3 linked regions of the Arabidopsis thaliana genome follow. The protein of the gene in region 3 interacts with the protein of the main gene of each other region in a pairwise test. Each region holds a gene or a part of one and is shown on either strand. Other genes may lie near its edges. The genes, in order: AT4G30240, AT1G68680 and YUC5.

Evidence for each region.
Region 1: the proteins of YUC5 (region 3) and AT4G30240 interact in a protein complementation assay, tested with the Arabidopsis thaliana proteins (one large-scale study listed by BioGRID).
Region 2: the proteins of YUC5 (region 3) and AT1G68680 interact in a protein complementation assay, tested with the Arabidopsis thaliana proteins (one large-scale study listed by BioGRID).

What each region holds. Positions count from the first base shown.
Region 1 is NC_003075.7:14,807,340-14,811,765, forward strand, and holds AT4G30240 (Syntaxin/t-SNARE family protein), read right to left. Parts: upstream 2,737-4,426; 5' UTR 2,407-2,736; coding exon 2,324-2,406; intron 2,117-2,323; coding exon 2,002-2,116; intron 1,902-2,001; coding exon 1,317-1,901; intron 1,242-1,316; coding exon 1,142-1,241; intron 1,040-1,141; coding exon 1,020-1,039; 3' UTR 983-1,019; intron 897-982; 3' UTR 550-896; downstream 1-549. Other genes in the region: AT4G30250 (P-loop containing nucleoside triphosphate hydrolases superfamily protein), read right to left, coding at 3,923-4,426.
Region 2 is NC_003070.9:25,783,758-25,787,916, reverse strand, and holds AT1G68680 (SH3/FCH domain protein), read right to left. Parts: upstream 2,412-4,159; 5' UTR 2,291-2,411; coding exon 2,094-2,290; intron 1,326-2,093; coding exon 1,295-1,325; 3' UTR 575-1,294; downstream 1-574. Other genes in the region: AT1G68670 (myb-like transcription factor family protein), read right to left, coding at 4,044-4,159.
Region 3 is NC_003076.8:17,647,934-17,652,019, reverse strand, and holds YUC5 (Flavin-binding monooxygenase family protein), read left to right. Parts: upstream 1-1,644; 5' UTR 1,645-1,888; coding exon 1,889-3,163; 3' UTR 3,164-3,444; downstream 3,445-4,086.

The sequences.
Region 1 (4,426 bases), on a different chromosome or scaffold from region 3:
ACACCTTTTTCTTTTTCTTTGATTTTTTCGTTATTTTGTATTTCAGCTCATTTAGAATATTTCAATATATATTTTAATAAAATTGTTTTTGAAATTGAATTGGTTAGGTGAGGAATGAATGATGATCAAAAGAAGCACGAGAAGGATATGAGAAAAATTTATTACCTTACTTTTCCCAATGGGACTAGTCGATTTTTAATGATTTAGACAGGAAGTTGTATCATTTTTTAGCATTTATCTGTGCTTCGAAGTTCATGGTTGATAAATGGTATGATCAAATTCCATCTTGAGAGACTGTGACATGCACCTTTCTTTTGTCCAGAGACTTCTAGATTCGAAAATTATTAGACATTTTTCTTTCTTCATAAATCTTTTTCACCATTATCATATGTCTATATGATACGACCTAATATTAAGATTTTTTACTTAGCTTAGAATTGACCTAAATTGGTACTTTTGGGCTGTGACACTATTAGTGATGAAAGAAATTGAGACGTCAACTATAATGCGCATTTTAAAAGAAAGTAAGACAATGATTGGAACAAATGACTTGCCAAGTAAGTGAAAGAGGACAAAGAATGTTTTGTTCCAAAACAAATATCTGAGAGACAAACAAACACTGGAGATATCATTGAGCACAAACACGCATTGGTTTCCTTTAGGTACACGTCTAAAGTTTAACGAAACGTCGTAGCTTCAAGTTTTACAAATTGATCTTACAAATTTACAGGTTCCTATATGTTCCCTGAGGATTAAGAGAGAGTAATAAATCAGGCTTTGTCCTTCATTTGAATCTTGACAAAGTCTTTTAATCTCTCCTCCTTCCCTCGAAGGATGTTGAATCATGTAGCATCTAACGAGTGTGTAACCCAATACGCAAGAATCTGTGAAAAAACCTGCAAGATACACGAAAAGGATGTAATGTTTAAAGATTGTTTTAGAAAACTTGGAGTTCTGATTTAGAATCTAAAATATCATTTACCTGTCAATGTTTCTTGAGAGTTTCTGAAACCGCGGTTTTAAGTTCTCAAGATGAATACTGCAAGGGTATAAACAAGGAATTTGATTCAGTTATAGAGAGTAGAGACTGTCATGGAACAGTGGTGTGACATAACTCATGAGAACCAAGAGAAGGACTCACATAGAAGAATCAAGATTAGCGTTAAGGAAAGAATGAGCTTAATAGGGCGGCTCAATGGAACGCGAAATCGTCTTTGATAAACCTTGACTCTGTCAAAGAGCTGCAAAATGATAAACAACTAAGACTTATGATCCTTTCTAATAGTGTAGAGATGATCCAAACTGCAGAAGCTTACCTGGTTATAATCACGACATCTCTGCAGCCAAAACATAGGTTTAGCTCCTTTCTCTTTAGGAGTGTCTTCAATATGTGATAGGAACTTCTCCCTCTCTTCTTCTTTTGCATTAACAGGGACATTAATCCTCAACGCACTGATATTTGGTACATTTGGTGAACTCCATGTTCTTCTTGTACCGCCTTTTTTATCTGCACTTTCCGGACTTCCTATGTCGTCAATGTCTATCACACAATCAGGACTGTCGCCATAACATCTACCCTCTCTTCTGCCATTGATCCCACGTGGATTCTCAGCTACAGAACTCGTTGAGGAATCTCTCAAGTTGATGCTATCACTGTTTAAACTCTCTGACGTCTGAGAAGATCCAGATAGAAACATGGCGAGATCATCACGCTCTTCTTTGTTAAGATCCACCCAACGCAAAGGTTGTTTCCCATTCTCGCTTAACGACTCTAGCAGAGTAGATTCCACTTGATAAATCTGGTTTTCAATAGCGGTAACAAACTGTTTATGCCTAGTTAAGGTAGTGTCATCTCGACAATTTCCATGGCTTAAGCTCACTGCCCTCTCAAACTCTTCCAACTGATTCAAGTCACAACAATATAACCAATATCACTAACACACTCATGAGTAACCATGAAAAAAAAAGGGAATGATCAAAGGACCATTGATTGTTTCATACCTGCCATTTAGCAGTGCTCAAAGCAGCTTGGAGTTCTTTGCAGAGCTCGTCTGATTCTACGGATACTCGACCGTCTCTCTTCTCTTTAAACCACAACCTATACGCAGATTCCATTCTGGAAATACAACACAAATAAGAAACAAAATTTCAAATTTGATAACTCAATTCCTTCACAAAACACAAAGGTTCTCACTTAGACCATTCTAGAGCCAATTAGTCCCCTAAACAATCGAAATACCCTATTTTTCAATTGAAATTCCGAATTCCACCATCACAAGCAACATGAGTCAATTAAACAAACAGAGAATCAAAAAACACATACATATCAGCAGATTCTTGAACCTCCTCAGCTGCAGAGAAAAAAACATCCTTTTGCCATAGATCGAAACTATTCGCTACCATCATCTTCGAAACCACACCTAAACCCTTCAAATTAAAGACCAAAAAATCAACCCGAAAAGATTCGTCGGAATAGATTCTCTCTCCGATTATAATCCAAAATTAGATTCTGCTTCCTTCTCTTCTCTTCTCTTCTCTTCCTTTTTTGCCTTCAGGAGGAAAGAAGGAATTTTTATTTTTTCTTCCTCCAGCTTTCTGTTTTTATTTTTTATTCCTTAAATTCTTCGATATTTCTTTGCTTTCTTCACTTTAAACGTTAATGGAAGATTTTAATAAAGAGGCCTCTCTGAACTAAATTGACCATATTTCACACGTGTTTTATTGTAATTGGGAAATAATTTAAAGTAAGATGGTCTTAGCTGCAGGAGATTACCGCTTGTCAAAGAAAAACATCAAGAATGTCCGTGTTGTTGTTGGGCCTACCGGTTTGCCGCAACATCAATTGTTCGCCAACCGCATTATATTATTATTATTATTCTTTATTTTAATACTCTCTATACAAGTCAAATGCTAATGAGTAAATAAATTCAATAAAAACTCAACGCTAATTTTAACTTTTAGTTTAGTAATAGACAGTAGGAGCAGGACAAATTGAGGTGGCATGTGTAGCGCATGTGATATCAAAATTTTAACTAGTTAAATTGAAATTCATAAAATGAAAACATGTTTTGGTGTTTTCAGTTTTGGAGAGACATGTTTTGTTAAATAAATTTAATTAATTAGTTGTTGTGATATGGTGAAATACCACCTTCTTCAACAAATCCCAACCTTGATTTTGGTGTTTTCAGTTTTAATTAGTTACCAAGACCTGTTTTTGTTCTTATTTAGACATTAACCGGTGGTAGATTCTAGAGATTGGGCCCATAATATATATATATATTTTTTTTGATCAAAAAGATTGGGCCCATAATATAAAACAACTTTTTTCTGATGCAAATCTCTTTGGGTAGGATTGGGCTTCACTACTACAATATGTCAAAAATCAGCGGTCAATATTATATTTAGAAAAAAAAAAAGAACGGATGGATTTTTCAGGTCACTTCTAGTTTGAAGTCAAGTGTTTGATGTGATGATTCTTTAAATGTCACTTCTCGAGTAAATTGTTTTCTTGAACTATAAATTTTGAAATTTACAGGTTTCACATATAACCTGTATAAAAAAGGGTGTGACACTAACCAATTTACAACACCCAAAGTCCAAACGCCAATTCTCTTTTATCTCTTCAAAACAAACGTAACCGACACGAAAATTTGAGACAACATATACAACAACAAAGTGGCAATTTCTGCAGCATTAGTAGATACAAAAGCCAGTTTAGTCTCAACTCTCATGTAGCAAATCTCAGAAGGTTAACTTTGGACAGTGCCTACTTTTGACTTAAGAGTAAACCAAAATGGATAACGTTATATTATATGGTAACTAATCATATATTATAATAATTTTGACTAAACAAAACGGATAATTAAAAACACACAAGAACCACCATTAGATGATGATCCTAGGATAAACAGTCTCTTATCATTCACTTCTCCTTCTCATCTTCTTCTTCTTCCTCCTCTCGAAACCCACAAACCTCTCTGTTTCTTCTATTAGGACTATCCAAAGCTCTCTTCTCTTGTTCTTCCTCTGCTTCTTCTTCTTCTTCTTGACCTTCCTGTTTCTTCTTCTTCAATCCAACACTCTTCCTTCTCTTCACAACTCTCTCCTTCAACACACTCACAATCTCCCTCACCGCCTTCTCCGCATCACTCCTATTCCTAATCAACACTTCACTAACATCAGCCGGAGTAATCTCTGCTTCCTCCACACATTCTTCCATCTCCTTCAAAACAACACTATCCATATCTTCTTCCTCAAGCCTCAGATAATTCTTCAACAGAATCTTCAAAGCCGGAAACTTACAAAAACCCATGTGAACATGCATATCCATCCTCCCACTTCTCATCAGAGCAGAATCTAACTTCTCTATATGATTTGTCGTGAACACAAATATCTTCTCACTCCCACAACAAGACCAAAGCCCATC
Region 2 (4,159 bases), on a different chromosome or scaffold from region 3:
ACATGACAATCCGAAGGACAAAACTATATAATAAAAAGGGAGTACATTAAATATTGTGATGAGAGCACATATGTCATCATCGGATGTCTTTACGCTAATCTTTACGAAAACGAACACTACAAATCAATTTGGAAAACAGAAATGAGATTAGCCAAGTTAGTGTTGAAACGGTCAAATATTTTGGTTAGAAAAATGAGGAATAATATTTCAGGTTGGATAGTGTGTTAGATAATAGAAAACACGTGGTTAACCAACAAATAATAAAAATTTGAATAGAAGGATTTGCCACATAATTCAAGTGGGAATTTCGGAGATTCACCCGATGGTTGAGTCGTAGTAATGGTGTTCACTAAAGAATATCGTTTTTCTTTAACTCTCTTCCAAGTCTTGTTTATCCTTTGTTTTGGCTAGTATTTTGAGTTTTTTGTTTTCTTTCTCTTTTGTGTCTTGTTTAAAAACTAGTATTCCTATGGATTTCGGTCCCAAATATCCATCATAAATGCAAAAAGTTTCACAAAGAAAAGGAAAATGCTACGGCCTACGGTGAAAGGGAGAGACACTTGAGGAGAGTAACATGAAATACGTGTCGCCGTCAATACCTTAAACCCCCAAAAGAACATTCACTAATCCGTGATCCCAAGACATTCCAACTACTTCTTGTCTATGCCACTTTTTTTTTGGTTTTTTATTTACACACTCACACTCTTATCTCACCACGTGCCATTACTCCATCATTACTTGTGAACAAGTCAAAAAATTAAAGAAGAGGGAAAATATTTAAATGTTCTTTTTACTTGGACATGTGGTGTGAGAGCTAAGTAAGGATCTTGACGTTAAAAACAAATATAATTTATAATGAAAGAACGCACTTGTTCGATCCATCATCATTGCACAAGAGGTGTAACTCGCAAACAACCTGCCACCTCTAATGCTGTCTCCACTTAGATGTTACCAGAATCTGTTGCTATATTGACTCTATTTTATTATATATTAGCAGTATAATAAATATATGATCCTTGCCCATATCATAAACATGTGTTCATGTCGATGCATATTACGCAAACTAATTTTGCTCTCCACTCTAGTTTTCACATTCAAGACATGGAAAAATCAAGAACGAGATTGAAAAATGTAAAAAAGATGATACATTACAAGATGACTAAATGGGTTCATAAGGAAAAATCCATAGTTCATGTGTCAAATAGGTTTAAACCCAAAAGGCAAAAATTATTTATCTGAAAGACAATCTGAGAAAATATTGAGATCTTGTTGACTGACTGCAACTCCCAGTTTTTCATTTGCTCTCTGCATCATATATATCCGTTCTGTGATTTATCTATAAGGAACAATCAAAACAAAATAACACATTCCATAGAGATTATCAAAATATTCCACAGAGTAGCAAATGAATGTTCCTACTCTCCAAATCCACATAGTAGTAGACTCTACTTATGTCAAATCGAAGCTTAACAACATTAGGAAACATCATCAGCTCAAACTATTCTTAACAACAATCGCTGAAATGTTGAATATTTGCTCTCACTACCAACAGTAATCTTGAGGTTCTCTAAGCTACCAAACTATTACAATTTACTGCAAAACCATCATGAGTAAATCTCTACACCGCACATGACTTTTATAGAAATCTAAACTACCTGAATCAACAACTACAAGCAAACTTTCTTCAACTCCTCAGTTTGGTATACATAGATGGTTTATAGTCTCAATTCTAGAAATGTAAATTGTCAAACCACATAACCATATATGACTTCCAGTGATTAGATGATACAAGTCAAGATTAACTGCCTTAAGTCCATATGCTTAACTATGCCTAACAAATCCTCAACATGACTGACGAAACTAGTCAGGATTCACTTCCTTACACATACCTTTAACTCTATGCGCAATTTCAACAGCAAATACTTCCTAGCTCTCTGTACATACTAACAATCTACAATATCAAAACACAAATCTTCACTGCAAATCAAAATAATTCCCCTAAAACCCAAACATGCATATTCCATATACAATACATAAATGCAAGTTTCACTAAATCACATAAGAAAGCACCAAAGCAATCATAAAGAGGATACACAAGATAGAAGCCATGAGCAAAAGCACCGACGAGGACAAGACCGAAGAGACGATCTCTTAGAACTGGCTTATGCCTTAAAGACAACCGAATCAAAGGAAGCGCAGGTGCGTAGATGAGAGGTACTAAGAATTTGATCGGAGCTCCTTTCTTCTTCCTCTCCATTACTGGTTTTGAAGGATCGCTTGACGACGCCATGACGGATTCTTCAGAGAGAGATCTTTTTTTTTTCAAATTGCGATTTGCGATTCAATTTAGGGATTTCATCTTTTTCACTCCATTTTTTTTTGTCTTGGTTTTCAACACTTTTAAACATTTTTGGGCCTCGAAGCCCACGAGAAGTTATATATAGCCCACGAAAAGTTATAGATCTATCTAGTAAATTTTGTCCGTTGGAGGAGTTATAGGTTTATCAACCCGAAAATAAAAATCTTTTTAGCTGTCAAACAAAGATTAAATAAACGAGTGCAGTTTATGTTTGAATCAAAGAGAGTGAGCCATGTATTAGGGATTCCAATATTAGAGATTCGAATATCCTGAAATTGTTGTATTAACATGTGACCCTTCGCTTTGTCGTAAGGCCAAGTGTCCCTTTCTTTTTTCCACCAAACCTAAAATTTTATGTTTTTTAAGTTAACCATCAAAATGGTTGGAAACAAATAAATTTATCATCTTCAACTACTTAATGCATTAATTATTTAGATTCCGATAAGAAACATGGTGGAATGGCAGAATTGAGAACCCAAAAAAAAAAGCAGAATGGAATGATAAATGATTATAATGGAAATATGAATATTTTTTACTAGTTGTACAAAACTATTGTATATTTAAAAAGTGAACAAGTTATTGAAATTCCTTATAAAATTCAAATAGTTGTAGAATCCGTATCAGTTGGAGGGAAGTCACGATTTATTGATCTCCAGCCCCTAGTCACGATTTATCCAGTTTTATTCAAAACAAAGAAACAAAATTACGTAAGAATTCGTCTTGCTTGTATAGACCCAAGATTATCCTCCCTACAAATCAAGTTAAAAAAAAAAAAAAAAAAAACCCGAAAGACCCTAGACACAATGCAAATGTCACAATTTTTATCGACCTGAAATTCTATAACATATAAAATCAAAACATAATACAAATTTAATCGTCCACTTTCCTATAATCTAGGAAGACTTATTCAACAAGGACTTAGTCAACAAGGACTTATTATAAAAATCAGAACATGACCTTTTTATTCTCCATGAACCCGATTATTAAACTGGTTTTGAATTTTCTAAAGAAATTCCGGTTCGAGTCAATTACCGTAAGATATGTGAAGGAAAAAAAAAAAGATACTATAATCTAAATTGGCCGACAAAAAATAAAAAATCTAAATTAATGATTTGATTATGGTTAGTGGTTACTATTCTATTAAGCAAGATTCAGAGGCGGCCACGTTAGATTTATTTTAATAAATTGCCATGCAAAAAGATAGATTTGGTATTCAATTCTGTGAATGGTTAGTTGGTCGATTCATGGACCTTTGTTTTAAGCAAGCGTTACCATAAATAAATCACTTCTAATTGTCACACCAAATATCTACATCACCATTCACGCACGTTATTCTCAATTCATCTTAGATTCTCTTATCTACCTTTGTATTTTACTATTTACGAAGGTGATGAATTATAACCTTTGCCATCAGATTCATCACGAAGATCTGTCTAAATTAGACACCAAAAACAAGAAGATATTTTAGTAAATATCCAAAGTTAGAAAAACAAAGAGTCTTCACTTATCTCGTGTATATACTACATAGTAGCATTCGTCTACTTTATTCAAAATTTCCAACCGAGGAAATAACATTTCTTGGTTACAAACAAAAACGGACGAAAATATTTCTTACATTCACATAAACATTTTCAAACCTACACCAAAATCAACATCAGGAGATGATTATAGTATGACTATCAGATTATGACACAGGAGTAGAAGTATTTGTATTTGTAGAGGAAGATGCCGCCGGCGAGTTGCAACTTCTCTCCAACGAACGTTTTGGAGATTGCGCCACCGCAACCGGAGCATATACAC
Region 3 (4,086 bases):
AAAGCGCTTTGTAATGGAACATTCGTCGAAAGTAATATAAAGCGAATAACACCATAAAGGACAAAAAAATCCTATTAAAAGACGATAATAAACAAACTTACAATAAATGGACCTAAACAAAAAAACTGTATTATTAGCAAAATTGCAAATTGATTTGACGTAGTTACTGGTTAAGCAGTCAGCAGTCGGCAGACGAGTTGAAGTGGGCCAAAATTGAGCCCCCACTCTGGGCTCACCATCCTATCCACGTGGTTGCATACTTGTCAGCACACATTGCCACGAGATTATCAAACTGAACAAAACTTACCTACCGAGTAATTTTATCCGAAAATGTTAACTAATGAAGCTACTCGTTTAGGAACATTTTGAAAATGTTGTTCATTCGGTTTCAAAAGGAGATAATCTTGTCTCCAAAAGACAAATGAAGAGATCACAATTAATAGAAAACGAATAACGAGTTAGACCGGAAAATAGTTTATCAATCACGATCAGATCCGTTTCAGACAAATAAATCGACGAATTCTTTTACAGTTCTTAAAGGCTTGAATGCTTGATTAATGTTTGATGTGTAACGATTTACAACCACGCACATATAGGTACTGCATGCCAATCATCTACTAAATATACATGAAAATCTACTAAAACTTAATTAATACCATGCGAGAAAAATATTACATACGTTAAATGCTTATGCAAATATTTTCATCACCGACGCAACCATTCTTACTCCAAACCAATTATCGATGGACCAAAACATGTAAATGCATCACCTAGATTATCAAACCCCTAAATGGTGAACTTGAACGAGATAAACTCTAGAATACAACATAAACTTGGTTAATTTGAATTTAAAGTTAACAAAAAAAAAATTGTAAACAAATTTATAATTATAGGTTTACTCTAAATAGCTCAAAAAATAATAATTAAGCCTAAAATTGGCTTTTGATCTAGTTTATAACATACCTACTAAAATTTCATCTGATTTTCTGTTTATCCTACGAGAGTGCCAGTTTTTGTTTTATGCTATAATGATAACGTCAAAGTATCCACCAAAAGAACACCATAGTACTTGTATTTCTATTGATTTTATTTTTTGTTCCCTACTATTAACACTTGTAAAAATATGTCTATATATCTATATGACAAGTAGTTTTCCCAATCCAGTTATATTCTCCAAAAGCCATCTCTACAAGCTCATGGGTGAATTTGGATGATGTACATATCATTATCATTTGGACCATATGATCAGAAGAATTTGGATGATATGAATATCATTATGATTGGTCCATTGTGCCCAGTTGATTACCCTTTCACATCTTTAAATTTTGAAACTATATCTTTGTAATATTCAAAGCTATTTAATCAGTAAGTACAATCTCAATATATACCATAAAGCAATTATATTATAATCATCACCAACTAATTAATACTATTAAAACGGACTCTAATCAAAGTCCCATCAGAGACTTTGGAAGAAAAGAATCGAATGATTCCATAAGGAAAAAAGCTTTAAAATAACTTAAACTATTTCGCATTTTTAGCTAAAGCATATGATTAAATGGGAAACCTAAATAAATTATTACACACACTTATTGAAGAACTTTTGCATTTATTAAATTGATTAAAAATTAGCCTTAGAACGCGCTAATCACAAGATCACATGCAAGTTCCTCTTACTTCGTCCACTATATAAACACATCCACCATTACTTCTTCCTCCAAACACATTCCAAAGCATCTCATTCCTCTATCAACAAACAAACAAAAAAAAAGCTTATTCAATTTCACTACCTATTCTTTTGATTCGATCAAAATCATCTTCTAAAGATACCTAAACTATTCCATTTTCACTACTTGTAATCTTGATTCGATCAAACTCACCCCTAAAGATGGAGAACATGTTTAGGCTCATGGGAAGTGAAGATTCCTCCGACAGAAGACGGTGCATTTGGGTTAACGGTCCTGTAATCGTCGGAGCCGGGCCATCGGGGCTAGCCACGGCAGCCTGCCTCCGCGAGGAAGGTGTTCCCTTTGTGGTATTGGAGAGAGCAGATTGCATAGCTTCACTATGGCAAAAACGAACTTACGATAGAATCAAACTTCATTTACCAAAGAAAGTTTGTCAATTACCCAAAATGCCCTTCCCGGAAGACTACCCGGAATATCCAACAAAACGACAGTTCATCGAGTACCTTGAGTCCTACGCAAACAAATTCGAAATTACTCCTCAGTTCAACGAGTGTGTCCAGTCTGCTCGATACGACGAGACAAGTGGTCTCTGGCGCATCAAGACAACATCTTCCTCTTCCTCGGGGTCGGAGATGGAATATATCTGCCGGTGGTTAGTGGTGGCGACGGGAGAAAACGCGGAGAAAGTTGTTCCAGAGATCGATGGGCTCACAACGGAGTTTGAAGGCGAGGTGATCCACTCGTGTGAGTACAAATCCGGCGAGAAATACAGAGGAAAGAGTGTTCTTGTCGTCGGATGTGGAAACTCCGGCATGGAAGTCTCTCTTGATCTCGCAAATCACAATGCTAATGCATCCATGGTTGTTCGTAGCTCGGTTCATGTGTTACCAAGAGAGATTTTAGGCAAATCTAGTTTTGAAATCTCCATGATGTTGATGAAGTGGTTTCCTCTGTGGCTAGTAGACAAGATTCTACTGATTCTTGCATGGCTGATTTTAGGAAATTTGACAAAGTATGGCCTAAAGAGGCCCACGATGGGCCCAATGGAGCTCAAGATTGTTTCAGGTAAGACTCCAGTTCTAGACATCGGAGCTATGGAGAAAATCAAATCCGGTGAAGTAGAAATCGTCCCGGGAATTAAACGGTTCTCTCGTAGTCACGTGGAGCTAGTAGACGGTCAGAGATTAGATCTCGATGCGGTGGTTCTGGCCACGGGTTACCGTAGCAACGTCCCATCATGGCTCCAAGAAAATGATCTGTTTTCGAAAAACGGGTTCCCGAAATCGCCGTTTCCAAACGCGTGGAAAGGGAAATCGGGACTTTACGCGGCTGGATTCACAAGGAAAGGATTGGCTGGAGCATCAGCAGACGCCGTTAACATCGCTCAAGATATTGGAAACGTGTGGAGAGAAGAAACCAAACGACAGAAAATGAGAACACGAGTGGGTCACCGCAGATGCATTTCAGTTGCTTAGGGCTCAAGTTAGGGCTCATACCATTATTTATTTTATTTTACCAAAGAGTGTTTATTCATTATTTCATTTTTTTTTGTAAACAAAGTATAAAGATACAAAGAGAGCCCTCTCCTGAAGACCCAACGGTGTTGTTTTTGAAGGCTGATTGGGCGTTTTGTATAACTTAGGATGACGTGGCATTTCTCTTCATTATTATTTTCTCTTCTGTTTTTCACTTTTTTAAAAAATCTATGTAATAATAAAAGATTCATACTCATAATTAAATGTCCTTTTCTTTTTAACATCTTCGACTAATCAAATTAAATTTCCTTTATTTGAGTTTTTTTCCTGCAAAATAAGTATTTTTTGGGGTAAAATACGACATGTAAGTCGTAACATGAATATTAAGTGAATATAGAAAGAAATTCTGAGACCTTAATCAAACTTGACGAGATCTCAAAGGCCCAAATATTTGGCCCACTTAAAAAGCTAAACTATGTAAGCCTTTTTAATCAACGTTGTAATGAAATTCAACGTTGTAATGAAATTCTTAACCAAATTATATTAGTAAGATTTCGTTTTGTTTATGTAGTTGACAAAAAAAAAAGAGATTTCGATTTTTGTTTTTACAATTCCTGCAAATGATAAGATAATTCCATCAGAAAAAATAGAAAACTTACATTATCCTTTTAACAAAATAAAAGGAAACATACTTTATCAAGAAAAAAAAGGAAACATAAAAGGCTATATAAGTAGACCCTATAACACTATTGAATCCCTCAGTTTTCACAAATCCTCGGTTTAGTAGTAACAAAACCTTTACTATTAGAAAAAGAGAGAGACAGAAGAAAAAGATTAACATATTTCAGTTTTAGAAGAAGAAGATGACGTTGGAAAGCGAGAATTGGATCTATGAAACAGTATGGGATAGAGAAGGAAATCCA